Canis lupus familiaris: one gene and its partners. The protein of the gene in region 3 purifies or fractionates together with the protein of the main gene of each other region. This does not show direct contact. Links are inferred from orthologs where the notes say so. Each region holds a gene or a part of one and is shown on either strand. Other genes may lie near its edges. The genes, in order: CYFIP2, ABI2 and WASF2.

The links.
Region 1: the proteins of WASF2 (region 3) and CYFIP2 purify together in Homo sapiens (co-immunoprecipitation; 3 studies listed by BioGRID and IntAct, with this or other methods). This does not show direct contact. The link is inferred for Canis lupus familiaris from reciprocal best matches to the Homo sapiens genes WASF2 and CYFIP2.
Region 2: the proteins of WASF2 (region 3) and ABI2 purify together in Homo sapiens (affinity purification with mass spectrometry; 3 studies listed by BioGRID and IntAct, counting the BioPlex papers as one, with this or other methods). This does not show direct contact. The link is inferred for Canis lupus familiaris from reciprocal best matches to the Homo sapiens genes WASF2 and ABI2.

Annotation. Positions count from the first base shown.
Region 1 is NC_049225.1:53,773,923-53,785,169, reverse strand, and holds the start of CYFIP2 (cytoplasmic FMR1-interacting protein 2), read left to right. Parts: upstream 1-4,863; 5' UTR 4,864-4,970; intron 4,971-11,247. UniProt on the Homo sapiens protein: Involved in T-cell adhesion and p53/TP53-dependent induction of apoptosis. Does not bind RNA. As component of the WAVE1 complex, required for BDNF-NTRK2 endocytic trafficking and signaling from early endosomes.
Region 2 is NC_049258.1:12,085,918-12,096,424, reverse strand, and holds part of ABI2 (abl interactor 2), read right to left. Parts: intron 10,412-10,507; exon of another isoform or gene 10,260-10,411; intron 5,747-10,259; coding exon 5,570-5,746; intron 4,106-5,569; coding exon 4,088-4,105; intron 3,061-4,087; exon of another isoform or gene 2,506-3,060; intron 1-2,505. UniProt on the Homo sapiens protein: Regulator of actin cytoskeleton dynamics underlying cell motility and adhesion. Functions as a component of the WAVE complex, which activates actin nucleating machinery Arp2/3 to drive lamellipodia formation.
Region 3 is NC_049223.1:72,257,920-72,268,426, reverse strand, and holds part of WASF2 (wiskott-Aldrich syndrome protein family member 2), read right to left. Parts: coding exon 10,416-10,507; intron 8,112-10,415; coding exon 7,956-8,111; intron 5,229-7,955; coding exon 4,714-5,228; intron 3,429-4,713; coding exon 3,271-3,428; 3' UTR 1-3,270. UniProt on the Homo sapiens protein: Downstream effector molecule involved in the transmission of signals from tyrosine kinase receptors and small GTPases to the actin cytoskeleton. Promotes formation of actin filaments. Part of the WAVE complex that regulates lamellipodia formation.

The DNA of each region.
Region 1 (11,247 bases), on a different chromosome or scaffold from region 3:
GTTGAAGCAGGACTTTGTTCAAACTACTCCACACCACGTATGGGGGCATGGGTGTCTATAAGCTGAGACAAACTATATAAACATTCATTTGCTTTTCTTTTTTGTATATCTCAAAGCATTTTCCCATCTAAGATGATGTTGGATCTTTCAGCAGCTTTGGGATAAAAGCAGGAGTGCATGGGTCTGACCAGACAGAAAAGGGAAGTGATACACAGAGAACATGCCTGAGGTCATACAGCTACTTAACAAAGGTGAGGTTAGAACTCAGAGCTCCTTCCAAGTCCTGCATTCCTCCTAGAGGTCACACTAAAATTCAAACCATGTTAATAATAATAATGATAACAATAAAAACAGCCATTTTTAAGTACTTATGATGACTCCACTTAATGTATTACATTTATTATTTCATTTAACCTTCCAAGAATTCAAGGGATAGCTATTATTATGATCAATTTTACAGATGAGAAGAGGGCTTAGTAAATTAGGGAAAGAATTCATAGTCCCACAATTAGTGAGTGACAGATGAGGGCTTGAAGCCAGACCTATCTGTCCCCAAATTCCATGCTCCCAACCATTCTGTGGAGCTGGTTGTAGGATTCATTATGCTAGCTTCTGACAACACAGCACCACTGGGCCCCCTGGGCCTTGGCTACACTGCTGTGTTCCAGATCCTGTTCAGAATATGCTCGACCCTCCTTAACAGTTCTTATCTAAAATTATTGAATATAGAATTTGTTTAAATAAGGATAAAATGTTCTTTGCCATGAAGTTATGTGTAAAAGATCTGACCTTCAAGGGAGGCCAGTTCTGTAGAAGTTGTGAGAAATGACCAAAATGAGAGAATGACAGTGTGAAGGGGAGACATGCATTTCCAAATGGCCCAGGATGAGGCTGCAATCTTTCAGCAGCAAATCCATTGTCGATGTTTCATTTATAAAATAACAGGGCTGTTTCTTAGGATTTCGTAAGGATGAAACGAGCCGATCCATAGATAGATAGTACTTAGCATAGAGGCTAGCCCCAAATAAACATCTCATAAATGTTAGTTTAAAACATAGGCTTTAACAAATTATTCCATATTCAAAGAAGGAAATAGACAATCCAGTTTCCTATGGGAGGGCCTGGGTCTGGGTCCAACCAGCCTTGGGCAACTCTTCCCCTCTCTGGGCCCCAGTTCTTTCATCTGTAAAATGAGGCAATTTTGAGCAAGTGCTCAGGTCTTATCTTACGGACAACGTAAATTGCAAAACAAACCATCAAGTTTCTCTTTTCCTGCTAACTACACGCACCAGTGTGTGAGCCTACTGCATGTAGCAAGCCCATTGCACTTAGTGACTTCTTTTGTATTATTTACAGTTTCTCTCCATCTCATACCCTTTTCCTTGTTTTAAAAATTTATTATTGAGGGGTACCTGGGTGCTCAGTGGGTTTAGCCTCTGACTCTTGATTTCAGCTCAGGTCATGACCTCTGGGTCCTGAGATGAGCCCTGCCGGAGGCTCCATACTGAGCACGGATTGAATTTGGGATTCTCTCAATCCCTCTTCTTCTGCCCCTCCCCTGCTTGTGTTCCTGTACTCTCTCCCTTTTTCTCTTTCTCAAATAAATTAATTAATTAAATCTTTAAAAAAAATTATTAGTGATTCTAGGGGCACTTGGGTTCCTCAGTCAGTTAAGTGTCTGATTCTTGATTTCAGCTCAGGTCTTGATCTCAAGGCCGTGAGTTCCAGCCCCATGTGCGGGCTCCACACTGGGCCAGGAGCCTACTTTGAAAACAATTATTATTGATTCTAAAACATTTTAGCCATTATTGTTAACATTAATATTTACGTTCTCTGTCTCCAGAACCAATCCTTATATCCATTCCAGATACTCTAGTACTGGTTTCTATGAAGGAGAATCTGCGAATTTTAAATGGAGACTTGGATGTCCTAAGTGACCTGAGACTTTTCTAAAAACAAGGCAGTGTTGCCACACATGAAACCACGGTGCGTGGGCCACAGCTTTACAAGTGGGAAAGCAATTTTTGCCTGATAGCTTCAATCCTCTCATTGCTGATGGTGCAGCCGGGGGTTGGACATGAAGCATATCTGAAGGCAGTAGACAGATGGCTACACATTTCATTGGCAACATGTATACTAAGATTTTACTTTTGATTATTGATTCAACTCATATTTACCGAATTCCTATTAAGTACTAGTCTCTGAGGAGGCAATGAGAAGAAAGACACATCCCTCTCTCTTCGATTTTATGCTCTAATGATCGTATGCAGGCAAGTATGTCCTCAGTGACAACACGCACAACAAGGGGGATGATAGAGGAAGCCCAGGGGGCTCTGGGGAGCTTAGGTGACTAACACTAGCCTAACATGTCTCTCCAGACATGGAGGGAGCTTGAAGGAACAGACAGGTAAGTGGACACCAGAGGGACAAATAGAGGTTAGGCAGCAAACTGGGGGCATGTGCAAAAGAGGGAGGGAAGGAGGATAGATCATTCCAAGCAAGAAGTCCAGCTTAGGTAAAGGCCAAATGCAAGAGGACACAGCAAATCTGGGACACTAAAAGATTGCTTTTAGCTGAAAGCATAGAGAGCTTGCTCACAGCAGTAGAGACTGGAGAGGTAGATGATAGATTATGAAGACTCTTGTGGGCCATTAGTTAAGGAGTTTGGGCTCCATACTGAGAACAATAGAGAGCTGGTGAAGTGCTTTAAGTGTGTTAGGGGCATGCCCTTTAATTCATGTGATTTTCTACATGTAGAAGGATTTGGGAATGTATCCAACTTACTTCACTGTATAGATGGGGAAACAGGTGAAGTGACTTGCCTAGGATCACTTACTTGCAAAACTGGGACCAAAAGGCAAGCCTCTGGATTTCCAACACAGCGGTTTGAACGACACCATACTGCTTCCCCTTATAAGCAAATGGAAATCAGGGGTCATGGAATTATTCTTGCCTAACATCTAACCAAATATATATGCAATAGTCTTTTTGTTTCTCTTAAGCAACTTGTTCTTGAAAGGTGAAAAGACAAGGAAGGAGTAGCAGGGGAAATGTGTCTTCCAGAAATCCACAACATCCAACATAGTATGTCCTCTAGAATGAAGATCCAATCTCTCTTGTTACATAATCACTGACACTCAAAAAACTAAGGATCACAGTGGAAAATGAAAAATTAAACAAGGAAGGAAGGAAGGAAGGAAGGAAGGAAGGAAGGAAGGAAGGAAGGAAGGAAGGGGAGAATGAAAGCAAGCAAGCAAGAAAAGAGAAACTCAGTTCGGTTTTTAAAGCCATCCTCCACAAACACCTCCACAGCTTTCTCACAGGGAAGAAATGTGTGTGTGTACATATATATATAAGTCATCCTTTCTGAAATAGCAATTTAAATTGGAGTGAGTGATGTAACATCAAACCATAAAGGATCATGAATTCTGAGGGTTTGGGAAGTGGTGTGAGATCCATGAGGGCAAAGATTCCTCAAGTCCTTTGCCAGAGACTCCAGTAATACGCCCCTCTATAATTAGCCCCTAAATAGGAATAGCTGAGTGATTAAGTATAAATTTGTGGGCCCTGGGCAAACACTCCAGAAAGCTTCCCTTGTAACAGGACTTAATTCTTTGTATCTGTACACACTTTAAAACGTCTCGAATGCTTTCCAGTGTTTACCCTGTGAAGTAGGAAGGGCAAGCATTACCCTCACGTTATAGACACAGTGGCTTCTCAGGAACAGTGTTGAAGTGACTTGGGTAGGGGGTCTCAAGGTTGGATCTGAGGGCCCACGAGGCTGCAGTTCAGTGAGGACTGTTCCTTTGAACAGCCCTCAACGCAGAACAAGGCTTCCTGTTGCCACGCATTTTCCCTTTTGTCCATTAGGCAATTCTCCCTCAATGAAGTCGAGGCAGAGCCTCCTTAGGAGATGGCACCTTCCGGGGGTTGGCTCCAAGGAACGGAGAAGGTATTCCTTTTTTTTTTTTTTTTAATTTATTTTTTATTGGTGTTCAATTTACTAACATACAGAATAACCCCCAGTGCCCGTCACCCATTCACTCCCACCCCCCGCCCTCCTCCCCTTCCACCACCCCTAGTTCGTTTCCCAGAGTTAGCAGTCTTTACGTTCTGTCTCCCTTTCTGATATTTCCCACACGTTTCTTCCCCCTTCCCTTATATTCCCTTTCACTATTATTTATATTCCCCAAATGAATGAGAACATATAATGTTTGTCCGGAGAAGGTATTCCTGAGCAGAGGAGCGGCACTGGGGGCCAGAATCAATGGGTTGGGGCCCCCTCGCCCCAGCCTCAGCTGTATTTCCCATCACTTTGCCCGGTTCTTTCCTTCACGGCACTTCTTCCCGCTGTCAGTGCGCGTTGGCCAGGTTAATGCGTGCCCCATCTCCCCTGGTAGGCAAGAAGCTCCAAAAGGGCAGTACACCGGTGCATACTCAGCTTCTGGCACGGGGCTCGGAACAAAGTAGCTGCTCAATAAATATTAGGTAGATAAATGAGCGCTTGGAAATAGAGAGTGAGGTCGATGAGCTCCGAGCGCAGCCCAGGGCCGCCCTCCCCGCCGGCGGCAGGTGTGGCTCCCGGCGAGCGAGACCTGAGCGCAGGTGCCGCCTCCGTCCCTTACGCGGGCCGCGCGGCCGGTCGTCCTGGGGCAGGAGCCGCGCGGCAGGTCGGGCGCCCCGGGAGCCCCTCGCCGCAGCCATTTCCTGCTCTTTGTGTGACGGCGGCGGCGGCGGCGGAGGGCCGGCCCCGCGCGGGGGAGGAGCCGGAGCCGGAGCCGGGAGCCGCGAGCCGCGAGCCGGGCGCGGGGGGCGGGGCGGGGCGGGGCGGGCCCGGGGGCGGGGGCGGGGCCGAGCGCGGCGGCCGCGGGAGCCGAGCGGAGCCGGGCGGAGCGGGCAGAGCATCCTGCGCCCCGGCGCGGGGCCCCCGGCAGCCTCGGGCCGCTCGCCTGGACCTGCCGCCGACGCAGGTAAGCGGCGCGGCGCTCGCGGGCCTGGGCGCCGGCCTGGGCGCCGGGATGCTGCGGGGGACGCCGGTGCGGCCGCGAGGATGCGCGGGGGGCCGGCGCCCCTCCACCCAGCCCGAGGGGGGGCGCTCGGCGCGGCGCCCCGGCTGGCGCGGCCTGGGGGACCCGGAGCCCCTGGGGCAGGGCTGCAGGCCCCGCGCGGCCCCTGCCGGCTCCGGCCCATCCCGGCCCCGCGGCGCGGACCCGGGGCGAGGAGGCGCGGACACGCGACGCAGCTCGGGCGCGGCGGCGGCGGCGGCGGCGGCGGCGGCAGCAGCAGGTGCGCGGCCTGGGCCGAAGCCGCGGGCCGGAGACGGAGCGGCGCTGATCCCGGCCGGGAGACACCTGCGGGGGCCGCGAGCCCAGCGGCGGCGACCCCCGGAGCCCAGGTACTGCGGAGCGCCGGCCGCCGCCTCCGCCGCCTCGGCCCATCCCCTCCTCCAGGGCCAGCGAGAGGCGCGTGGGCCCGCCTGGCGGCCGCCGGGGACAGCAGCGCCCTGCGCTGGGCGCGACATGGGTGGGGCGGGGGGGCCGCCGGCGACCGGGGGTGCGGGGCTTTAGCGAGGCGGGAGGAAGCCGGACCGCTTGGAAGCCTGCGGGCCTACGCTGGCATCCTCTGCCTCCCGGCTGCCTGTGGGCGGGGGAGGACACGGGGAAGGGGACGAGTGCGCCGAGTCCTGGGGAAAAGGTTGGATTTCTCTTGAGCCCTGAAGACATCAGGAGGATCGCCTACCTGTCTGTTGTGGCTTCTGCTTTTCAGGACAGCCCGCCCCCTCGATGGATGGGTGGAAAGGAAGAGGAGGGAGTGCTCTCTGTTTAGAGGTGGGGGTGGGGACGGGGGCAGGAAGCCTGGTCACGGTCAGACAGGAGGACGGTTCTCTGTACTGCGGAGACCCTGGCAGGAAAGGACCCTGGGACTGCCCTGGCCCTCCTCAGCTCCAGGAACCTGCCTTTGACCTCTGCTTGCCTACTGTCTCCAGTTGAGCCGAAGCACTCACCTAGAGCTGATGGGCCATCTGCTCCCCTTCCAGCCAGGACAAGAAGGTGGCAGGGGTCTTTCCCAGCTAGCTCTCGGGTGCCTGTGCCTTCCTGGCATGGGTAAGGAGACTGGGGCAGTCCTGCGGGCATGAGGGACAAATCAGAGTGCTGGTTCTCATACTCCTCTTTTCTAACTCCTACCCTGTCCCTCTTAGGGCAGGTTGTCTTATCTTACTTACCCTTAGGCACTGGCCCTGTGGGAGGCCATGCCGGTAACCCTGGAGATCACAGATGTTGGAGGGCAAAATTCTAGGACCATATCCCTGGGCAGGATTGCAGAGGCCTTGGAGGCAGTTTTCTCTGTGACTCTCCCTGAGGCCTCCCATCTCCAGCTCCAGCTCCATGTTCTGTGCTTCCCCTAGTCTCCTATGTCAAAAATTATTTTCAAGAGAGGAGCCAGTGAACATGTTTATCCTTAAGAGCTAAATACAAAAGAATTTGAAATTTGATGCAGAGCAGGTCCTTTAGAAGTCGTTTAACTGGAAAGGAAACAGAGGCTGGGAGGCATTTGAATGGAAAACAAAGCTTTAAGTCAACCTATTTGCTATCTCTAATGGTGGAATTTCAGGCAGTAGACTGGAAGTGGGAATGGGGAACTGGGTAGCAATGTTGGGGAACAGTCACTGAAATGACAGTATCTAGCATCTGTCAGCAATGTTTGCTGCTGGGGCAGAAATGCCATTGGAGTGTGTGTCTGTGTAACTGTCCAGGGGTTCCTGGCACTGGAAGGTATCTGTGGTGCACCCAGTATCCACTTGGGGGAGGTGAAACTTTGCTATAGAGAGTTATTCAGTGGTACTGGCTGCCATCTGCCTGGCCAGTTACTGAGCCACAAGAAGAGTGTGTTGTTGCTTACAAAGCCAGTGCTTTGCCTAGTTCTGAACACTGAGCCTCTGGCGGGGGGCATTAGCTGTCAGCTCACTAAGCTTCGTTATTATATTTCCTGGTAAGTTCTGACCAGTTCTGTAGGCACCCAAGCCTGCCCTGTTTAGTCTCTGCTGAAAGTAGAAACTGAAAAACTTGCTTTAGCCGTTAGGCCAAGAATGGGGTATATGATCCAAGAGAGTTCAAGAGTTTTTTCTCGAATCAAATCAGAGGCTGGCCCAGAAAAGGAAGTAGGCATTTAAAATTTAAAATCTGGAAAAGGGGGGGATCCCTGGGTGGCGCAGCGGTTTAGTGCCTGTCTTTGGCCCAGGGTGTGATCCTGGGAACTCAGGATCGAATCCCGCGTTGGGCTCCCGGTGCATGGAGCCTGCTTCTCCCTCTGCCTATGTCTCTGCCTCTCTCTCTCTCTCTCTGTGTGCCTATCATAAATAAATAAAATTTAAAAAATATATATATATATCATTAAAAAAATAAATAAAAATAAAATAAAATAAAATCTGGAAAAGGGCCCCAGGAGAACACTACATGTACCCTCTGATAAATTGTGCCCTCTTGGGTGTTCAGTGGGCCTTCTCTGCTGTCATTGACCAGCAAGCTGAATGAGGTGATGAATAGGCAATGAGCTAATTAGCATTGGAAACAGCACTCCTGGAAAACAGTACAGGGCTCCAGTCCCTACATTTGAGAATCGGCCTACACTCTCAAAGAGGTTTCTTTTGGCTGCTGTTGGCCCCAGGGTTCTACCAAGAGCTTCACAAAATGGCCTTTTGTAGCCTCCATGTGGCCACCATAACAATGCATCTATTTCTTTACTAGCAAGTATTAATTATTCACTCGTAGTTGATGAAACAAGACATCAGTCACCTCATTGGAGTCTTTGTAACAGGCCTTTGGTCTTGTCCTTCTAAAGAGCAAACCCATGTCTAGGGCATAGAGGATAGACCCTGCCTTGGTAGTAGAGCATGTTGCTGGGCAGTGACTGGGAGGTCAGTGGTAGTGGGGAAGGAGCTGGTATTCAATACTGGATGCTCTAATTGAATGAGGGATGCATGAACATGTTAAGCAGAATGTCTAGTACATAATAAAGTGCTATTATATTTATATATTTAAGAATACGGTTCATGTGTGTAGTCAACCCATAGCCCTTCCCAACCCTACCTCCAGGGGCTTCCTGGATTTTGCTTTTCCCAGGGGAGTTGGCTCTGTGACCAAGAAACCTAGCCCCTGCAGGTTTACCTGCAAAAGTTAACCAAAAGAGTGGTAAGGTGTAGTATCAGTAAGGGCTTCAGGTCGGAAGTAGCTCTTGAGTAGCTCACTGAAGGTGGGTATAACTTGAGTAGGCAGAAAGAAGGGGAAGAAATATACTGAGCAGAAGCCCAGAGGTAGTTCTCACATTTCAACACACAAACAAAGGTCAGGAAGGAACTTTCCTCCTGTGTGCATTTAGCATTTTGCAACCAGCCAAAAATGTTAAGGGCATGCTTCACTTCCCAGGCAGACAGAGCAGAGCAGTGGCCTTCGGACACAGGATTTATCCTTGACTTGCCATGTGCCTTTAAATCCTCCACTACCTCTCTGACTTTAAAAATTAGCCCAGGGAAAGCAGCTTGCCCTGCTTGTTACCTACCTGTTGCCACAGGAGCCTGCAGATGAGATAATGTCTATAAATCCCAGTCTTAGAAGAAAGGCCGTGGAAACAGGGAAGAGAAAGAGGTTTCTGAATGTGTGGCTCTTTTGGATGACTGCCCTTTATTCCTAAAGGAACAATTTATTAATTATATATTGTGTGTCAATTTAAGAAGACAAATCTGTGGCCTCTCTGTAACATTGAGCCAAAAGGAAACTGAAAGGCACTTTGTGATTCCCAGATTCTGTCAAGGCCCCTGGATGGCCTTGTCTGTACAAAGACACTTCAGATTTCAGTTGGTGGGTGTGGGACGCCTCCCAGGATGCAGAGTTTGGATATTGGCTTCCTGGCCATGGCCATTATGCCAAGGGCTGTGTGTGGTGTGCCTCAAAAGATGACCATTCAAGCCATACTTCTGGGGCCCTGGCAACAGAGGAAGATTCTTGAAAGGAATTGTTTTAAGAATTCTTACAGGGACCATTATGGCCAAGTGGCATTTTTGAGAGACTTCCAGCAACTCAGAAATAGTGCAAGGAGAAAGGAAAGTAAACATGACCTTCTGGAGAGATACCCAAGAAGGACCCAGTGATGACTTCATCAATAGGCCTTTTGATTGTGTGTTTGCATCATCATTAGGTCATCTTAGAGCAGTGGTTCTCAGACTTTAATCTCTTCGTAGGATCGAGGGAGGTTAGTATGTCCATGTTGTATGGTCTCTGTCTTCTAAATAAGGGAGGAGATGAGGTCCTCCACAGAAAGTAAAGGTGGTGGACTGGTTAGGAGAGTTCAGGAGACTTCCGGAGGTTTGGAACAGCTGCCCCTGTGGGTGGAATAAGAAATCAACTGGGGGATGAATGAGAGGATTGTTTAACTTTTCTGAGACCAAAGAATCTGTAGGGCTGACCCTCATAGAAGACACTCAGTAACTCAGTGTTAAGTGAAGGGATACCTGAGAAAGATAGTCAATGTGTGCTTTTAAATTGTGATGCCTTAAGACAGATTTTGGCAAGGTGTGAATGCAAGAAAAGAAATCAGGACTAGGAGTCAGTCACCAGCCTTCAAGTATGTTATACCTTCATGTGGGAAAGAGAAATAAGGACCTGTGTCTTAAGGTGGAAACTACATGACAGAATTTTCTAAAGAAGTCTCTTCAAAGTCTTCATAGTAGGAAGGTTGACTTAGATATGATGCTTTAGAGGACCACAATATTTTAAATTAAAAAATTTGTTTTTACCAGAAGATATGTGTTTTGGGTCGTTGGCTTATGCATTCAGCAAGTTGTTCATATCGTGCTTATTAAGTAAATAAAATGTGCCTAACATGTGCCCGGATCTGTACTAAGGCTATGAGTCAATCTAAAAAAAAAAAAAAAAAAAAAAAAAAGATGACCATTCCTGTTTTTGGTGATCCAAAGAATTAGTGAAATATAAATCAATTTATAATGCAGTAGGAAATTGTAGACTCTTCGTCCACTTTTAGAATCCAGAGAAATGAAAGTTTGGGGGGGTTTGGTCAGACCTTTATGAAGGAGGCCTATCTTGAATTGGGCCTTGACAGTGGTTAAGGGTAGGATTCAAGAAGGGGAGAGGAGAGTCTACTGGAGAGTGGAGAGAGTTGGAGCAAAGGCAGGAATGTCCATGGGCAGGTTAATGGCACTCCAAACATCCTGGCCAGTGTGGTATCCATGTTGGAGAACTATGGTCTTAAAAGAAGACCTTTGCATGGAGTCTCCATCTACTGTCCATGTCATATTTTTTTTTTCTGGTTGGAAGGGCCCTGAGATAGTCTCAAGTCCAGTGATTCTTAACTAGTTGCTTTTGGGTTTGCACTCTTTTTTCTTTCTTTTAGTAATATGATCGACAATATTGATGAGCTCAACACACCACACCCACAGCCAGTCCCCTCCCCACTCCACCCCCGTTTTCTCCCACACAGGGAAAGATACACATGCAAGCAATGATAGCACAGGAGCAGTTGGAACCTTCCCAAAGACACAATAAAAAGTACATTGCTGGGGATCCCTGGGTGGCGCAGCGGTTTAGCGCCTGCCTTTGGCCCAGGGCGCGATCCTGGAGACCCGGGATCGAATCCCACGTCAGGCTCCCGGTGCATGGAGCCTGCTTCTCCCTCTGCCTATGTCTCTGCCTCTCTCTCTCTCTCTCTGTGTGACTATCAAAAATAAATAAAAAATTAAAAAAAAAAAGCACATTGCTTGCACACCTCACTACATAAACCATTACTGGTAAAAGTTGCCCACAAGAACCTTCACAATGGAGGTTTTGACATCATGGTTGAGAACCATTGCCCAGGCAGCTTCCATATTTTACAGACTAGGAAATGGCCTTTTTAGAATGAGTGAAAATATGATTCCAGGGCCTAAGTCAGTTTTCAGAGTGAGCCACAACCAAATTGCACCTTCACATCCGTGAGACTGAGGCCCGCAGGCTCTGCTCTGGGGGCTGAACCTACAGTCTCACTCTGTTTCCACAGCAGATGCAGCGTGGCTGGCTTCCCTTCCTGAGTTTTAGCAGGTGCTTCTGAGACACAGCATATCTCCGGATATGGGTCACGTTGGTGCCCCTCACATGGTGGCTTGTCACAGGCCCCAGCGGGAGCAGATTGACAGGCCACCCTCCCTGGCCTGACCGTGTGCCCCCCACCCCCACCCCCGGTGCCTGCAAGAGGATGGGA
Region 2 (10,507 bases), on a different chromosome or scaffold from region 3:
AGCTGGACTGTTGCTTTATTTTTTTTTTAATTTTTATTTATTTATGATAGTCACACAGAGAGAGAGAGAGAGAGAGAGAGAGGCAGAGACACAGGCAGAGGGAGAAGCAGGCTCCATGCAGGGAGCCCGACGTGGGATTCGATCCTGGGTCTCCAGGATCGCGCCCTGGGCCAAAGGCAGGCGCCAAACCGCTGCGCCACCCAGGGATCCCTGGACTGTTGCTTTAAAAAAAAAGCAGGATTTAAATATACAAAGAGAAGGGTAGTAGTAGTATGGATAGCCTGTATCTGGCTATGGAATAGTGAGGGGGAGCAGAAGCCGTGGTCAAGCACCTCTGGGCCTTCATTCACTGTCCAGTATTGTTCCTCACTAGTCCCATCCAATGCATAATTCTTTGGCTTCCTGGAGATCTCTATCCCTCCCTTCAGAAAATATATATTCCGACTGCAATGACCAGGGCTAAGAGGAAAAGGACCAGGAGATCCTTTGAGGGAAATCAAAGCTGAAATCAGGGGTTTGAGTATGAATTCAGAAGAGGTAAAATTTTTGTAAGAGCAAGACAAAAAGCCTAAGGTACTAAGAGTCCTAAAGTAATCCAAAAACAGACATAAGGGAATAAAAGAGTAGGAATAATGGGAAAGAGAAACAGGTAAAGAAAGGAGGACAAGAAAAGAGGAATAAAGATGGGCAGATTTCTGCTTGATCCTGAAAATACTTTCTGACAACCAGCCTTTGCCAAAATAGAATTGGCGGCTCAGATTGGAACTAAAAGGCAAAAACAGATGGGTCCCAAAGGTTGCTGTGATTATGGAGCTTTCCTTCCAAATGACGAGTCAGATAAATGCTCAAGAGTGAACCCTCAGCTGCACTTTAGAGCTGGAAATGTGAGACACAATTCATCATCCTCCTGCAGGGAATGACAAACACTTGTTAAGGAACACACTCAAGTGAAAAACTAAAGCTATTTTTTACACAGGGATAAGTTAAGTGAGATCTCAAGCAAAATTTTCAGAAGTGTTCTATTCTTAATGTGTTGGTTGTAAAACAAATCCATAACCCCTCCTCATTAATTATTTAGAATTTGCTTGCACAGCATGTCCAACTGCAATAAATACTACACTAACAGATTAGGAGTCCTTACTGCTTTTGTTTAAACTAATATATTAATTTTAAAAGTACTGAAGTTTAGCTTCATTAGTGACAACTTCACTGCTTCAAAAGAAAAAAAAAAACATTTCAAATACATTAGTAATGGGGTCCTAAAATTCTTTTTACTATTAAAAAAAAAGTGGGACGTGATGTAATGAGCATTGGATATTATATAAGACTGATGTATCAATGACCTCTACCTCTGAAACCAGTAATACATTATATGTTAATCAAATTTAAATTAAAATTTTTAAATAAAATAAAGAGTGGGAAAAGGGTATCCCAGTTCAAGGTAAATTCTACTTTTATATGGCCTCAGGTATACACTAAAACACTTCCATTATGGCATTCCACCCTTCAGCTTTTTATTCTTAAGCCTTTTGTAAAAATATCACCATATTATTTTCAAAGGTCTTACGAATTAAACTCTACAACTTGTGGGCAGCCTGGGTGGCTCAGCGGTTTAGCGCAGTCTTCGGCCTGGGGTGTGATCCTGGAGACCCAGGATTGAGTCCCGTGTCAGGCTCCCTGCATGGAGCCTGCTTTTCCCTCTGCCTGTGTCTCTGCCTCTGTGTGTGTCTCTCATGAATGAATGAATAAAATCTTTAAAAAAAAAAAAACACAACTTGTTCTCCCCTGTCAACTAAAGGAAAAAAAAAAAAAAAAAAAAAAACCAACCTAAATTTTTTATGAAAAGAACCATGAGCCCCCATGAGAACATGCTATTCAAAATGTTAAAAATTCAACTTTTAGTATGGAGGATTCTTTTAAGTCAAAACCCATGTGTCTGGCCTCAAAGTATGATCTTTGTTTAAAGTCTGTCTGAAAGACATCAAAAGTCTAACAGCAATAAAGAGCAAAAAGAGAGTTCACAAAGAACTGAGGAAATCAAAGAAGCAGATAATCCTACCAACAAACATCAGGAGACCTCTAGGGCACTTGACATAATCCACAAGTCTCCAAGATCAGTTGGAAACCACTGAACTAGTTAATTATCCAGTTCCTTCCAACTATAATATTTTCTCTTTAATATTTCTATTTAAATTTTTTAAATTTATTTAAATTTCTATTTAAATATTTCTATTTCCTACCTTAATGTATTAAATTATTCTATTAATCACCCTACTAAAACCACTCCTTTTTAAATACCAGAATAAAAAGAGAAATATTTGTTATACATTGAATATTTTTTCACTCTACTTTGTTTTGGTTTACCCAAAATTATTAGCAATGTGCTATAGGTTTACAGAGAAGGAAAAGTCACAAAGAGGGACAGGAAGAAAGAAAAGACAGAGTGTTGGTACATTCTAGCTTCTAGAATGAGTTCAGGGTACTCTTCTCACCAGGCAACACCACTCAGAGCAGAAACACCTACATAGAGCCACAGTACTCAGGAGTGAAGCTTTTGTATATTTGTAAAGATGTCAAGGAATCTTACCCAAGTGTGGTATATTTCCTTGCTTTCTAGGGGCTTATTTCCTACTCACTTTGGTGTATCTCCCACATAGAACAGATCCTGAATCCAAGAAGGTCAAAAAGGAATCATAGTACAGTTTGGAGGCATGAGCATAGGAAAGTAGCTTACACAAACTGGTCTAAACTTAAAGGGTTAAAGAACTGGTCCATTTCTGTGTTTTTTTCCTTTAGATGATCTTTCTGTGCACTTGTATCACTTTGAAGAAAACCCATCAATAGCCAAAATTTGAATGCAGCTTTTACAGGAAAAGAGCCAAGCTAGTTACACACTGCTTTGGGTCTACTTCTTTGTATTTTATGCAAAAGGAATCTCCTCAGAATTCCACATCCCCCACTTACCAAGACTGAGACATTCTACTCAATAACACAAGAAGTACATGCGCTCGACTCCTCTAGTCACATCTACCAGGATCTGTTGAAAAGTCTGTGGCCCTGGTTAGTATTAGTAGCTAGTTAATGATTCAGATCTCAATTATCTTCTTATCACTTTCTATACTGGAGACATGACAGATAACAGGGTTTTAGATAGTGTATTTGAAAAGAATTTATAAAGTTCAGCTAAGAAAATAAGAAAAAGGAAATTCATGCTCAGTTTAGTGAAAATGTTAGTAACCTTCTATTTAAATGTTCTTGAATACACTTGAATGTCTTTTACCATTAATTCTCTAAAATACTAAAATATAAACAAAAATCCCTAAAATGTTAGTGAAACAAGTATTTCTCTAATTCTTAATGTGAATTTTGTTAAACACTCATGAACTTTTGAAGTTTTGATATAATTAATACTCAACTAGTAAAACTCTTAAAGTTTATGTTGAAATATGTATCTTATATAGCAATTTGAAAATGAGAAACTAATTTTGCTTTTTGCAAAATACATGATACTGCAACTTAAAAAAAAAAACCTGTAACATTGAATATTTTCCATTTCTCAATTTCTTTACATTGACTAAGAGTCAAGAGATAATGACATACTGGCCACAAGGTGTCTAATAAAGCACACCATTTATAGAATAAAAAGGCTATTACACAGGGGGAGGGTTAAATAAAGCACATTAGTTGGCCCTCCAATCCATAACATAAATCCTGTATTTACAAAAGTCCAGCTAATTTTATTCATAATGACATTTTATAACAGGTAACCTTAATTTTAATTTCACAAAATATATGAACATTACAAAATACACATTTATTCAAAAATATTTACTAAGCACCTAATGTGTGCATCAGGCACTGTTGTAGGCACATAGGACAAAACTTTTTTGTGAACAAAACAGACAAAAAAATCTGCCCTCATGGAACATGAAGACACACCACAAAGTTGGATGACAAAACTTTTTAAAAATTAAAGAGGAATTATTTGTTGATTTTAGAAGGCCAAGTGCCAAATATCTCTTCACTCCCCATATGTAATATTCTACATAAGAACAAAGAATGGAAATCCAGCCCTGGAATCTCTTACCTTAAATCTAAGCAACCACTTAATGCATAAATGGAGCAAATAAAAGAGGTAAGGAAAAAAAGCATTGAAAGGTTAGTTGGAACTTCAGGATGTGAAGAGAAAGGAAAAAAAACAAAGAAAAAACAAGTTAAGCATTCAGCATTAAAAAATAATGTTTCAGTAGATCATAGAAAGAGTGGTCAAAGCAGAATGTGTCATGAACAGGAGGGTTTTTTTTTGATGAAATTATATGACATTGTTTTATTCAAAAACTTTAATAAAGATTTCTTCAAATTAGTTAGCCCTAAACTCTAAAAGCCCAAATAATAAAAAGGACTCCAGAGTCCCAAAAGAATAATATTTTACTTGAATTAAGTTAAGAATTAGAGTGGGAAGGAAACCATGTTTTTATTGTATAAGTGGGCAAGTACAAATATTATGTTTTATATTCTAAGTACCTTTTGTAATTAGATTCTGGCATTACCCTAAAATTATTTATTAGCAGTTATTAGTCTAGAATAAATCTCAAAATTATAAAATTTTTAATATTTCATAAAGTCAAATATCAAATTCCAGATAACAGTGCTTGTATCAAAATTCTGAGAAAGAAAAAGACTTAATTTACACTGTATGTTTTCTTTTACCTAGGTCTACATTAGATTTACATTTAACTGATTTCCAGGATACTAGTGTAGGATATTTTTTTAATTTAAATTTGCTTATATAGACATAAATCAATTGCATAAACTGTACAGTTTCACACATATGTATATATTCAAAGTCACATTTGAAGAGTCATTGCCCTTCAAATCACTGATTAAGATGAAAGCTTTAAGTAACTGAACACTTAGCTGAAGCTCCAAATAGTTTAAGTATAAATACCAATTTAAATCAAATTTATATGCACCTTAGTTTTGATTATGGTACTTTTACATATGCAGCAGATACTCCAATACATTTTAAAAGACAGCCAAAATATATAATGGCTACATACTCAAAAGCAGTGGAAATACTAATTCACATATTACTTTCATCTACACTACTCTCACCCAAAATGTTAAGATAAAATTATTTTAGAAAGATTCAAAGTACATGTTTGTTTATAGATGTTCCTTCTGAAAACTAACACCAAAGCGTTGCTGATAAATTTTTGAAATAAGGTGGATACTTAAAGAACATGCTGAGTAGTTTTTTAATCGGTCATACTAAGTCATTAAAAGATTAGAAAAATTAAACCACACTTATTTGCCCAATCTAGATGAGGTATCCTCATAGCTGATTAAGTAAATGCAATTCATTTAAAGGTGACTGTTTAAAATTTGAAAACACAGCACCAGGAAGAAGCAAGAAGGATAGAATAGTTATAGTATTAAAGAACCTTCAGAACCACAACTGGGCCAAAACCTGGACCTCCAGGAAAGAAAAGACAAAAGCTTAATTTTCTAAAGAGTTAGTTCCATTATGGACTGCTGTTTTAAAAAGGTTGACAAAAATTATACTTACCTTTACTCCATGTCCAATATCATCTAGAATTGTATAGTCAATAGGTTTTCTAATATAACGAACTGGTCGTTCAAGATTGGCTGGAGCAATAATCTTATGTGTCCTTGAAGTGTTTTTATTGGTAGTCAAAATACCAATCTCTCTTCTTGCAACTTTCTCTTTATGAATATCAACGGTCTGCAAAATATAAACACAAGACAAAAATGTAGAGTTCTAATCCCCAGAAGAATCAAAATATAAATGCTCAGACATCTAACATTATTATTCATATACTTAGCCCCAACTGCTAAATTTTGTTCTTTTTGGATCTACTAGCTTTCTCCATTCTTAGGCTAAAGCCTAAGGTTGGCAAATCATGGCTGGCCAACCAAATCTGGTCCACAAACTGTTTTTTATAACCTGAAGTTTTTTACAACCTGGGAGTAGTGTTTACATGTTTTAATGGTTTTTAAAAGTCAAAAGAAAAATAATGTCATGACATGTGAAAATCATACCGAATTCAAATTTCAGTTTCCATAAAGAAAAATTTTTGGACCACAGCTATTCTACTTGCTTACATATTTTCATACTACAGGGCAGAGATAAGCAATTAAAACAAAGACTGCATGGCCCGCAAGTCTAAAATATTAGGGGGTTCTTTACAGAAAAAAGTGTGCCAACCTCTGGGTTAAAGCATGCTAATTTTTTCCCAAGCTCCATTGCTCCATTAATACTCAAACTAATATATAATGACTAAGAAAGCTCCAGGTATTATGTTGGTTACATTTTTAAATAACCTATTAGTATAATTTCCATTGATGCTCAAATGCTTTTCTATTCTTAAAAAAGAGAGGCTTAAAATATAAATACAATGTTATCATCTTTTTACAAAAAAAATTAAGTTTGTGTATATTTTATCATGATAACATTAAAATATTTCATTAATTTATCCTATTTATTAAATGTTCACATAGGATAAATGTGTTTTTACTTGGTCTTCTATTTGTTGATAGCGAATTTCTGTATAAACATAGATAATTAATATCCCTAAAAAGCATTTCTCAAACAGCAGGTTGTAATTTAGTGGTATGTGAAAGGCAATTTTTTATTTTTTTAAATTTATTTATTTATTCATGAAAGACAGAGAGAGAGAGAGAGAGAGACACAGGCAGAGGGAAAATCAGTCTCCATACAAGGAGCCCGATGTGGGACTCAATCCCAGGACTCCAGGATCACGACCTGAGCCGAAGGCAGACGCCCAACTACTGAGCCACCTAGGCGTCCCAAAAGGCAATTTTTTTAATAAAAAAAAAATAGAAATATTAGACTATATATGCATAGTAAGTATTTTTTTCTTGAAATATTTGTTAAATATATATATATATATATATACATATATATATATATATATATATATATATATATATATATATACAGGAATTGATACAGGAAAAAGATACAGGAATTGTGTACTGGGTGCAACATAAAATATATTTTTTTACTGTGAGTTGCAGTCAAAAAAGTTGGAAAACACTTCACTAAAATTGTTCATATCTCTCATACTCTTCCTGGGCCAAGCAGCAATTAACAGACACTCATTCCTCCCCAGTCCTACTTCATTTTCCCCTTTCTGAAAACAGAACCAGGTAATAACATAGAAACGGAAAGAAAAGATAACCATTATGACAGTATTAAATATCACTATAAGTAATCTGAAAGCTGATTATCCCTCTAAACTATCCAAGGTATGAAGGGAACTTGAAACAAAAGTCTCCTATTTCAACCAAAAGATTTTAAAAGCAACAGTATCTATAAGCTTCACAACTAGTATCTAAATGAAGCATCAAATCAAAGACTGGCCAAGGTAGTTAACTTTATCATTTTAAATATTTCTTTTTAAGGCAAAAATAATCTTTGAGCTTTCCTGAGCACGTTAAGTAAAAATTACAAAACCTGCCTTCCTTTTCAACTACTACAGGAGAGCTGTAACAGAGAAACAGACATTTATACATTAGTGACAATATTGGTATTTACTTATTTTTAACTTCAGAGAAATAAAAATCTCATTTTAAATAATTTCTAATGTGTCATGCTGAATCATTAAAACATGCACTTAGAAATATTTCATATGTTTTAAGTATGCTTCAAAATAAACAAAACCAAAGAAAATATGGCACTTTTTTTGACACCTATTTTTTTTATAACTGGTCTTCACAATGTCAATAAAAGAAAATTTATCAGAGAATGTAATCGTCTTGAGACACTGTTCTTCCTCCAGTTTTTAGAAATGTAGTTATACTATTCAAAAAGGAAACCAAAAAAAAAAAAAAGGGAAACCATAAGAATGCAAACCTAACCAACCATAGAATTTTAAGCTTACTGCAAACTGAAACTTTAATTTCAAATTTTAATGGTGGAATTATTAATACATCTCTGTATTAATAAATAAAATGAGGGGGAGACCTGGGTGGCTCAGCGGTTGAGTGTCTGCCTTTGGCTCAGGGTGTGATCCCAGAGTCTCCGGATCGAGTCCCACATCAGGCTCCCTGCATGGAGCCTGCTTCTCCTCCCTCTTCCTATGTCTCTGCCTCTCTGTGTCTCTCATGAATAAATAAATTTAAAAATCTTTAAAAAAAATAATAAAATAAAATGGGAAAGCAAGTTTCCATATCTGCATTAATATAGTTACGTTTTATAATAAGCACATATTTTTTAACTGTGAAAAAATTAAGACTTTTTTTAAAAAAGCACTGAAAACATTTGATCATTTTTCTGGGGATTGGAGGCACTTACATATTACTTATAAGTTCTTCTTATATATGCACAAACACAGCCCAAACCTACAGACCATTCACTAAGGATAAAACAAAAACCAATATAGCAAAGAAAAAAAAAATCTCAGAATTATAGGTCTAAAGTGGGCTCTTACAACTTCCTGAGAGGGAAAGCAAAGTGCAAACAATAAACTATAAGAAAATACATCCCTTCATCAGGAAGGGACAATTTTCCCAGCACTAAACTCCAAAAGGAATTTTGGCTGGAGGAATTTTGAACAGAAAAATGTTGCTTCTTATATTCTCAGTTAAAAAAAAAAAAAAAAAAAAAAACCTCAAGGCATGTTTTAAAACATAAATCTTAAGAGCATAACATCCATGGAAAATCAAAAGAATTTAGTTTGGTTATATAATATTTCTAGTTGTTTACTCTAAAAGAATTCCTACATCTTAGAAAAACTAGACCAGGGTTTCTCAATAGTGACACACTTGACATTTTGGGCCAGATAATTTTTTGCTGTGAGAGGCTGTCCTGAGTATTGCATCATGTGAAGAAGTATCCCAGTAGACCTGTAGCACTCCTCCAAACCAAGTTGTGATAACCAAAAATGTGTGACATTACCAAATGTCTCCATGAGGGTAAGTGAACCAATGATTTAGCGGGGGTACTAATTCACTTGTCCTTACATTACACACTCTGAAATATCAATATCAATTACTTCCAAACTTCTTACAAGAGCTGACTTAAGATTAGTATTTCTAGTGACTAAGTATAGATAGTTGGTGTTATTAACTTTTTAAAAAACATCTATAATAAAATATAAGGTTAAGAAAACCAAAGAGCATAATTTGTATTCCTGCCATCCTACTACAACACTAAGTTAAACTGGAGGAGTTCTTGTTAACAAAATCATATCTATATTCAGAAAATAGCTATGTTTTTATGTGGAGTCTGAATAATAACAGAGAACAATGAATCTACTACTCCATTAGGAAGGAAGAGAAAGTTTGGTCCATAAGATTATGAAATTTTCAGCAATCACCTACTTCAAATTTTTCAAAGCTTTCTCTTGGGGAAAACCATAGTCAAATTAGAATAATAGAAGGAACACTCCTCTCTCTATATAGCTAATATCAGCATTTATCAACTTACAACTGTCAGTTTTAAAAGAATTTTTGTAAAGCTCCTATGATGTATTGTTTAATTTAAAAATAACATGAGTTAATACATAAAATCTTTAATATATACGTGTGTGTGTGTGTGTGTGTGTGTATATATATATATATATAAAACTACTGTTTTTTCCTAAATCTAACTCATTGCTTGCACTAACCACCATTGCATTTGCCTTCATTATATTCTTTGATGTTATAAAGCTAAAATGTATTAATGCTAAGTTTTGGAAGTACAAGTTCAACACTGATGCTTAGGAAGAATTTTATTTTATTTTTTAAGATTTTATTTATTTATTCATGCAAGACACAGAGAGAGAGACAGAGAGAGAGAGAGACAGAGACAAAGGCAGAGAGAGAAGCAGGCTCCATGCAGGGGGCCCGATGTGGGACTCGATCCTGGGTCTCCAGGATCACGCCCTGGGCCAAAGGCGGCGCTAAACCGCTGAGCCACCTGGGCTGCCCAAAGAATTTTAATAGTAAAATAAAAGTATTCCAAATTTGTCCTGGATTTTTAAAGTTACTAGTTATATGACAATAAATTTATTCTTATTTAGTAGAGATCTCAAGAATAGCGCTTATCCATGGCAAATAAAAAGCTTAATTAGCAAAGACCAAAACTAATGAAAGTACACTTCTAATAAACACCATTATTGTTCCTACCTGCTAACCAAAAAACACACCAAGTAATATCACTGCAACTGTGTGGACTATTATTATTAATAGATCCTTATTAATTTGTTTCTCTATCCTTCTCATTGTAGCAACTGCCAAGTTATGCAGTGCCAAACCCAAGTCCTCTAAAACACCTCTTATCATCACCTTGAGATAGTTATACTTGCTCCCAGCTCCCTTGCAAGCCTGAGACCCACTCCCACATCTCCTTCATACACAGGCCACAACAGATATCAAGAAGGTACTATATAAAATATTTTGTTTTAGGATTATCTTTATATTGTGTGTCCCATTAACATGGATAATTAAGAGTTGACTGTACTGCACAGCACTGCTT
Region 3 (10,507 bases):
CCAGTAGAGCTCAAAGCCTGATGACACCAGGAAGCCTGACATCTCTCCTGAGCAACAGCCCCTTGCCCTGGGGCACTGGCCCCCTCCCCAGGCCCTGAGGTCAGGTGAGGGGGGCTGCGGAGGGAGGCAGGCTGAGAGCGAAGCTGGGACACGGTGGGAATGCTTAAGCAGGGTCACCAAAGCCACAGAGACCTCAATCTGTCCAAGCTGGCGCTGCAGAGCCGGAGGATCGGCGCCACGGGAAGAGATTTCACATTAGCCCTGACAACACTGCCTCGGCTCTGCGGTGACATTGGCCAGGGTCGTTTCTGAGGGCGCTTGAGCTTCCGTTGGAGGCGAGCTGGAGCTTGGGCCAGCTGCTCTGAGCCTCCAAGGTATCGCAGAGCCTGCCCCCTCCCTGTGGCTGCTCCTTTGGAATGTAGTCATCTCACAACCGTGGCAAAGCCACAAGTCACTTCTGACACTGCCGACTGGAAGCTGGGTCCCTGGGCCACAGGAATGGGGGCAGGTCCCCTGGGCTGGGCAAACTAGGGAAGGGAGGTGGCTCCTTAGCTTCAGCGCTTTAGAGTCCTTATGAACTACTGCTCCACACTCTTGCCAGCCTCAGCCCAGTTTAAATAATCACTAAACTTTGCATTCTACAATTATAGGATTCCAAAGACGCACAATTACCTGCATAGGGTCCTTTATCATCTTAAAGGGCTCCGGGTTTAAAGAAGCATTGTGGGTTTTTTGTTTTATTTTGTTTTGGTGCACATATGCATAAATAGAGCCCAGAGGGCCTCTCAGCTGACTGGGTCCCCAGCCCCCCGAGCTGAGGAGGCTTCGCAAGACCGGCTGCTACAAAGCACAGAGCTTGGCTGCATAGATTTTAATGAGAGCGTCAGGCAGAGCTGTGCTGTTGCTCTCCGGGACTTGCAGATCATTACCAAACCAGCTGTAGGATGAGAACACAGCACATCGAAACCCTAGGAGGTCACTGAGCTAATGATCTAATCCTACCTTCCGCAGGCAGTGCCCCCCCTTCTGCCCCCAGCCCTTTCCAGGGCAGACTGTGTCCATTCCAGAAGCCAGGCCAACACCGCCCCCTTCAAGGTCAGAGCAGAATGATAGCAAGTGGCGCTGGCTCCCCCTTTTCCGGAAAGGAGGGGGATGGGGGTAATTTAGTCAAAGCCATTAGGCCCGAACCCTGGCCTGGCCAGGCCCCAGGACTCCTATTTGGGAGAACCACTGCCCTCCACCTGCCTCTCCGAGCCACTGCTGGGCTGCAGCCAGGGACACCTTCAACAGCCATTTTAGGGTTCTGAAGAAAGCACCTTCAGCTTCCTAAGTACAAGGTGGGAAGCAAGGTGGGGGGCACACACAGTCTGGTATGGCCAGCACGGAGCACGGTGCCCGCCCCATGGCAGACATCTGATCTGGGGAGGGCGGGGGTCCAGTCTGCAGTAGCCCCAGCAGGAGGGCATGCTGGCCCCTACAGGCTCAGTCCCCAGGATAGAGTTCAAGGAAAGAAGGCAGAGGGGGAGCATCCAGCCAGGGCACAGCGGTAGTACCCATGATTACACACTCCCCTCAAGCCGGAGGGGTTTATGAGGGCTTTGGCAATTACTACAACCATTTGCTGTGCTGGGTAGAGACAGATCCTGTTTCTCTTTGTTTCAGGGCTCTGAAAGCCGGAGAAGCCAGGAGAAGCCGGTTTCAGCATAAGAGGCTACACAATAGTTAGGGCAGAAGAGAAGAAACCTCACTGTTGGCCAAAGCTGACCAGTTTTTTTCTGAATAATAGCACCTGTGTATTAGCTCTGGGAAAAGGGGGAGTGAGGGAGGGAACATCACGGCACACAGTGAGGAGGGAGCTGGAAACAAGACCCAGAGCCCCTCAGCCTTTCAGCCCTCCTCACAGCTGCCAGGCCCCCCTAGGCAGCTACCTGCGGCAGCCACCAGCCTGAGGGACTGAAGTTTCTATAGTTGGCAGAACCTATGCTTAAATTGGGGAAATAAAAGGGGGACGAGTTGCAGAGGAATTGAAAGCAGCACCTGTCAAAGCTGCGTACCCCCTTCCTTCTCTCACTACCTTTGGTCCCCCAGAAGGGCAGCTCCCAAGGCCATGTGGTTCAATGGCGATAGTAAAGGGGGAGCAAAGAATTGTAAGACAGGCTATAAGGGTCTGAGCAGCACTGAGAGGCCCGGCACTGGCTCTGAGTCCTCCTCCTGGGACTCCCACCTATGGTGAGGTCTGGAGTAGTAAAGAGCCAAGACTGCTCTACCTGGACTCCTCCAAGTGCCCACTATTTGGTCGCAGAAGGCACAGGTGACTTGGAACCAGGAATTCTGGGCTCTAGAGTTCTGTCACCATCCAACTGTGTGACCTCAAGACCTGAAGCAAATCATTTCCCAGCATCATTAAGAGGGTAGGATCCAAGGAGTTCCATCATTCTTCCAGTTCTGCAGTTCCGAGTCTCTAAGCTTGGCCCCTGATGGCCAACAGAGGTCCAGATCCCTGTCAAGGCTAGTTTGGTCATGGGTACTGGAGGTTTGAACTGGGCTCTGGTGCCTAAAGCACCTGGTAGTGAGGGAGGGGTATTTAAAGGACACTTGAACACCACACTCTGCAGAGAGCCTGAGGGGAGGCAACAACTTCAGCCTTCAGAAAGGCACCATTTCTGGGTAGAGAGGGAGACACTCTTTAGGGCCTGATGGCTCCTAGAATAAAGCGCACCGAGACAGAGATGGCTTAGCAAAAGGTAGCTAGCTCACCCTGCTGACCACGGCACAAAGGTGTGGCAGTCTGGCTGCTAGGGCATGTGGCCTGCTCTGCCCTCTCAGCGCATGGGAAAGGGGCCAGCCGTGCCCATGCAGGCTTTAGGACCAGAAGATGGCTGGCACTATTTGAAGGGTAAGGATTTTGGAAGGAGACTACAGATGAAAATGGCTCCCAGAGGAAGATACCAACTCCAATCTAAACCCAATCAAAGGGATCTGCTTTGGAGTTCTGCCTTCTCTTCAATATGCAACAGTCACTTGAAGGGAAGAGGGAACATCTCAGCTACTGAATCTCAGGAGCCCCCATGGGGCCTGTCCATGGGGAGATGGGAAAATGTATGTTGATTTGGAGGAAGCACTTGGATATATCTTTGGTTGCTTCAGGGAAGACTTTGGCCCCTTGAAATTCTTTTTTCCTCTTTCCCCCCCCGCATCAGACTGTTGGGATATGCATCAAAGAAGGCAGCAGGAGGAAAGAAAAAGGAGGAGGGCAGCAGGCAGAAAGAGTTAATCCGACCAGTCGTCCTCATCAAACTCAGAGGAGTCATCTTCTGAGTCGCTGTACTCCACGGCAATTCGACGTGACAAGATGGTGGCTACATCGTTGCCCACGACATCTCGTTTCTCTTGTTCCTGCTGCTCCTCAACCTTGCGCAGCTGAAAGCCTGATGAGATAGAGACAGAGAGAAGGGTTCAGAAGGTGAGTGGGTCTCCAAAGGTCTGGGGATCCACACAGGACTGAGGAAGGGGGCGTGGCCAGGGGTGGGCAGAGTCTGGGAAGGTGTGGGGATCCTCTGAAAAAGTAAAAAGGGAAAAGAGAAAGCAAGAAAAGAAGTAAAGATGAGGGTTTATCCAAGCCAGGCCCCAGTGCCATAGGCATGTTGGAAAGGAAGCCTGCCATTCTTTCCATTTCCACAGGCTGGTGAGGATGGCACTTCTCAGGAGGCTCTGAGTGGGGAGTAGCCACCGAACTGTACCCACTAGGCACTCAGTCTCTCTGGTTCACTGATTACCACTGAGCCCAGCTGCCCCAACTGGTCTCCCTCAGACAACCCCTAGTTCCAGGAGTCTCGCAAACCGAAGAAACGACTTTAAACCACTGGAATTAGACCTGACCTCTGAAAGAAAGAGAATAAATACTCCACAAGGGTGAGATGATAAGGGAGGGCAGGAAGGTGGGGAAAAGGGAGGGAAGGAGACAAAGAGGGAATAGGAGAAAAGGGGGAGAAGGACGGGGTGAGAAAGGGGAAAGAGAGAAGGGAGGAAGGGTAAGAGGACAGGGCATGACTGGCCAGAGAAGTATCTTCTAGGGCAGTGATACTTGGTTTTCTCTGGGGCACAAAATGAAGGCAAACAGAGGCAAAGCCATGTCTTGTCAAGGAGTTCAAAGACCCCAAGTTAAGAATCTCTTACTTTACTTATTTAAGGTAATCTCTACACCCAAGGTGGGGCTTAAACTCACAACCCTGAGATCAAGAGTCACCTGCTCTTCTGACTGAGCCATCCAAGGCCCCAAGAATCCTTATTTTATCTATTTTGTTTTTATTATTTTTTAAAGCTTTTATATATTTATTTGAAAAAGAGAGCACAAGCAGGGGGAAGAGCAGGCAGAGGGAGGGGGAGAAGTAGACTCTCCACTGAGCAGGGAGCCTGACTTGGGGCTCAATCCCAGGACCCTGGGATCATGACCTGAGCCGAGGGCAGATGCTTTGGCTCAGGTGCCCCAAGAATCCTTTACTTTAAACTAAGATGGAAAGAAATCTAAATCTCTGTATTTTCAGAGTGAAGCCTTTCTTTAGGCTGATCTGAGGCCTGAGGTCCCTCCCAATCTCTCCCCACCCAATGAAAGCTATCCCCTGGGAAGGGCATGGAACCCCTAGGCCACCCTCTAACCAGTCATCTCGGCTGTAGAAATTGACAAGTGGTCCTGGACCCAGCACTGGGAATTACCTTGACGTATGGCTGAAAGTAAGTCGCTGCGGGCATCACTCACAGGAGGCAAGGAGGACTTAGGCTTGGTGGCATCAGAAAGTGGTGGTGGTGTGACAGGCTGGACATTGGGACCACTGAAAAGGAGAGGAGGGGGCCCCGGGGGAGGGGGAGGAGGGGGAGGCGGAGGTGCACTTCCTATTGGTTGGGACAAGGGAGGTGGTGGCAGAGTCGGGTAGTCAGCTGCAGGCGGTGGGGGAGGAGGTGGAGGGGCAGCAAAATCGGGGTGAGGTGGGAAAGATGGGGGTGAAGGTGGTGGTGGGGTCCCTGGAGGCCCAAATCCTCCAGGCGGTGGAGGGGGTGGAACGCTCATCATTGGAGGTGGAGGTGGAGGGGCAGGTGGTGGAGCAAACCCGGGTTTGGAGCCTGGTGGAGAGCCCAGAGGAGGAGCTGGTGGTGGATGGCTTGGGCTGACCACACTGGATCTTTTGGGTCCAGCTAAGCCAGGCCCTCTTTGGTTGCTGTCTGTTGGGCAGCTAAAAGGACAAAGAAAAAAAACCCACCATCAGTCTCAGCACGCAAACATCCACCTCTAATAAAGCTTATCTATGAGCCTAGGTTTATTTTGGTTGTCTACTATCATTTCATTTTAGCTCAAATAGAAAAAATGATCAGAACAGACCAACAATGCAATAGGAAGCCTTGTAATGCAATGAAGCTTCTCATCAGCAGAGGGATATAACCAGTAACTGAGAAAAGCTATTTGTTTTTTTTTTTTTTTAATTTTTATTTATTTATGATAGTCACACAGAGAGAGAGATCGAGGCAGAGACACAGGCAGAGGGAGAAGCAGGCTCCATGCACCGGGAGCCCGACGTGGGACTCGATCCCGGGTCTCCAGGATCACGCCCTGGGCCAAAGGCAGGCGCCAAACCGCTGCGCCACCCAGGGATCCCGAGAAAAGCTATTTGAAAGAAGTTTACACTGGGTTCCTCTATCAGGTAAGGGTTGGCTGAAGTCATTTTCTAGGTCCCCCCTCAAACTTTCCAGCTCTCCAAAGGAAGGCACCCTCCTGAACCCTCCATTAAGAGGGATAGTCAGTTTTATCCTGAAACCAGGAGCAAGAAGGCATGCAAGAAGAATTGGAATAAAAATCTAAACATTACCCACCCACTGGGCTCTATTACTCAGGCTATTATCATTTACCAAATCTTGTGAGGGCAGGAAACCCAAGCCAAGCTAACCAAAGCTGAGCAGAGTACAGATTTAGGTAAATGCACCTTCAGTGCTCACGTGGAAAAACCTGAAAAGGGATGACGATCTGAGGGTCAGCAGAGATGGGAAATGAATGTGCCACCAGACTTTAACTGGGTTGAGAGACGACTGAGTTGTACCTTTCCCAGGTCACATGTGCTTGGCTGTGGCTGCAAGGTCTCAGGCCATGTGTGAGGCTGAAGGATTTTTTTCCACCTTGGTACCTGCCCTCCACTAATAGTTACTTCTTAGAATAAAGCATCCATCTTGGGATTTTCCATAGACCTTCCAGCCTTGGCTGCATGTGATGGGGCAATCAGCGGGAAGAGATCTGGGATGAGTGGTTTCAAGAGCCAAGAAGAGTGGATCCGCGTGAGGGGAAGGGGTTATAGCACTGCTTTAGGTGTCCATCTGAGGGGTCCTCAACATATCCAACCTCTGATTCAACAGAGTCCGAGGAGAAAACTGTACCTTTCAAAGCTCTCATTTGTCAGGCATCAGAAAGGGCAAAGTAACGGAGCAAACACTGAAATCTGAATACTCTTCAGATCTCCATTCAGTCGTTACTTTCTTTTTTTTCTTTCCTTTTTTTTTTTTTGAAAGATTTTATTTATTTATTCATGAGAGACACAGAGAGAGAGGCAGAGACATAGGCAGAGAGAGAAGCAGGCTCCATGCATGGGAGCCTGATGTGGGACTCAATCCCAGGTCTCCAGGATCACACCCCAGGCTGAAGGCAGGCACCAAACCGCTGAGCCATCCAGGCGTCCCCAGTCATTACTTTCTAACTCTTCCCCTGTATACCTCTGCCAAACACCAGTACCAACAGAGTCTACATTTGATCTCCCTTTTCCCTTTGTTTCATTCTTTCTGGAGATCTATCCAGCAGTGAAATGAACCAGAACAGGGGAGGAAGGTAACTGCTAGGTTCCTAGATAACAGGGCACAGTGTCTGCTAAATACTGTAAGGATGGCAGATTATACCGCTTCATCATGCCATGCTCAGTTAAAGCTAGGTAAAAACAAGAGATATGATGGTGATCTCCATCTGTTCCAGTATAACTAACAGTTAAAAATATGGGCTCTGGGATCCCTGGGTGGCTCAGTGGTTGAGCGCCTGCCTTCGGCCCAGGGCCTGATTCTGGAGTCCCAGGATCGATTCCCACATCAGGCTCCCTGCATGGAGCCTGCTTCTCGCTCTACCTGTGTCTCTGCCTCTCTCTCTCTCTCTCTCTCTCTCTCTGTGTGTCTCTCATGAATGAATGAATGAATGAATAAATAAATAAATAAATAATCTTAAAAAAAAAAAAAAGAATATGGGCTCTGCAGACTGAATGACCTGCTTTCCAATCATGGCTCTGCTTATGACTGGCTGTGTGACCTTAGGTAAGTTCATTGACCTCTGTGTGCCTCACCACTTACTCATCTGTAAAATGGGTACCTACTTCAGGAGGACTATTGTGAAGATGAAGCATCATATACAGTGTTTGGCATAATGCCTGGCACCTCACAGACACTTAATAAAATGTTAATTATTTTTATTATCTACACAGACTTGACTCAAGTTATTTTATTGGTCCTGCCCTGGATTTGGAACACTTATTTTTTTTTCCTTAAGATTTTATTTTTTAAAGTAACCTCTAGGGCACCCCAGGTGGCTCAGCACTTTAGTGCCGCCTTCAGCCCAGGGATGATCCTGGAGACCCGGGATTGAGTCCCATGTCAGGTTTCCTGCAAGGAGCCTGCTTCTCCCTCTGCCTGTGTCTCTGCCTCTCTTTCTCTGTGTGTGTCTCTCATTAATAAATAAATAAAATCTTAAAAATAACAATAATAATAAAAATAAAAATAAATAATAATCTCTACACCTAACACAAGTGCTTGATTTTCATAACCCTGAGACAAGAGTCTCACCCTCCACTGACTGAACCAGCCAGGGACCCTGAGGTACACTTATTTTGTTTTTGAGTGTGTAACCACCCAGAGTAGACAGGAGAGATTGCACCATTTACCTGAATTCTGCTGGTGGGGGAGGCAAGCTGTCCTCAGAGAAGGAAGGAGAAGGCGGAGAGGTGGAGTCTGACAGCGGTGGCGGTGGGTAGCTGCTTCTGTCCACATTTTCAACAGAGCCAATACTGCCATTCTGGTACACCAAGGTGGGTGGGTACCTGACAATGAACCCAATGTCAAAACTGTCATTTCAAGTGTGACTGGCACTTCTCAAGTTTTTTTAAGAGACCCTACAAAAATGCATTTGGTACAAAAGCGTTTAGGAAGAAAGAAATATTCCCCACATGTTTTCTGCTGTTCGGAAATTTTACTTTAGGATTAAATTCAGGATTAAAATTTAGGACTAGGGATGCCTGGGTGGCTCAGCAGTTGAGCGTCTGCCTTCAGCTCAGGGCATGATCCCTGGGTCCTGGGATCGAGTCCCACATCTGTCTCCCTGAGAGGAGCCTGCTTCTCCCTCTGCCTATGTTTCTGCCTCTCTCTGTCTCATGAATAAATAAAATCTTTAAAAAGAAATTTTAGGACTGAATTCTGTTGTATTAAGTATCTCCCAGATATTCCTGCTGGATTCAGAGAAATGGGATTCAACCCAGCCAATCAAAAACCATGCTGTTCCTTTCCCAGTGCAGGTTGGCCTTGTCAAACCCAGCAGTTCTTTTAAATTCCCTCCCAAATGTTAAGAGCAGCCTAACTGCTCCCAACTCCCAAAGTCAGTCTTGAGGCAAAGGGCAAAGCCAAGCCCCAAGGCTAGTGAGCTGCAAACACGTGACTGGCACACAGCCTGGTTTGGAGGTCAGCAAGCCTCTGGAGTACTCAAAGGCCAAGGAGGCATTTGATTGCAAAACCAAGCTGAGGACAAATGCAAGTTGCTGTGTGGTAGCTAGACTCGGTCTCCCTGCCAGGTCTCTTATCCAACACTACGAGCTGCCAATTTAAGTAGGGTGCTTAGGGCCTGTGCCTCATAAAAGCCTGTCCCTCAGAGCACTGGGCCTTGGGTGAACAACAAATTTCCAAATAACACATGTACACAAATAGCAACTAGCAAATATGGTTGCTTCTGTTCTACCTCCCCCTTCTCTCCACCACTGCTGGGTTCTAAAGAACTCCTTTCAAACAGACCCTGGAGGGAAGAGAGTTGGAGAGAACTAAAAATCAAATGATGCTCTGATGCAGAAAATCCCCAAGGCCTGGAATAGGCTTGGTACATCTCTTTGTAGGTTTACCAACAAGCATACCCAGGTAGACCAGCCATGTAGCCCAATCCCAAACTTCTTGGACAAGAGAAAAATGGCAAGCAAAGTCTTCGTTTTCACCGGCCCCATTCCACACACACACAAACCAAACACGTAATAATTGGCAATCTGAATGCGCGAGGTTCTGGCCTTAGAGTCACGGAACCTAGGACAAGGCCTGTCTGAACAGGATGGGACCATGGAACCAAATGGCCCCTTTTACTGGGAGGTAAAGGTAATGAAGGTACCCTCAGGGCTGATTTCTTGACAGAGAGAAAGGTTCATTTTTTTCTCTTACCATCTTCATCACTCTTTAAAACAAATCTCTTAATCCAAGAAGAACAAGTGTCAGAAGTGTCAAGATTTTTTAAAGTCAAGATTTTCATGGTAGAGTTATTCCTAAAAGCAAGAACAACTCAACTCTTTCCTTTTATCATTCCTAGACACCCAGCATGGGCTGGCATGGTTCTCTGACAGCCAGGATGCAAAGTATTTAGAGAAAAAACCAGGGCAACATTCATGCCAAGCAGTCGTGGTGACTTGGCTTTGAATGTCACACAGGTCAGACACCAGGATAAGCATCAAACCAAACTCTAAAACCATTTTTTTCCCTTTTAAAAACCTCCAGTGTGATTTGGTATTGGGAAATGGGTCAGACTGACATCTACTGTTTCCCCCCGGAGATATATAGCCTCAGTACTGGCCGAACGACCTTTCCCACACTGTGTCTGAGGTCTGTTTTCAGGCCCCTGGCCGGCTTCTCTCCCTAGACAGACAAAGGCTGACTGAGAAGTTGTTTTGGTGATGTGCACAGATTCTCTACCAGGCCCTCTCCACTCCTGTGAAATGCCCAGCTCTTAGGCATGACCTTCAGATCAATGCTCTGGAGGCAAAGGGCTCAAGACCACTCTTTTTCTCTTTCCAGTCTTTCCTTTCAGGCCCACAAACATACTGTGTCTGGCAGAGCAAGGGCACTAGAAGCCATAGGCTTTCTTTTCCAGACTACTACAGTCACCTCATTTAAACTGCTGAGTCTCTTGATTTATTTGCAAATTTTAATCACCAGATGGATGCACGTGAAGGTAGCTGATTAATAGTGGTATTGATCTTAGCCACATAGACACACTTCAGGGAAGTGTGAAATGTGGCACACCAGAGCTGTCAAGCTGTTGCCCCCCAAAACCCAGGCCCTTCAAAGAATGTTACCAATTATATGAAAGCATCACCTACCCAGAAGGCCCCAGCTTTTCTTTGGATTCCACAAACTCTTGTCCCATCTTCATCTTCTCCCACTCTTCCTTCCGTGTTTTGATTTTACGTGG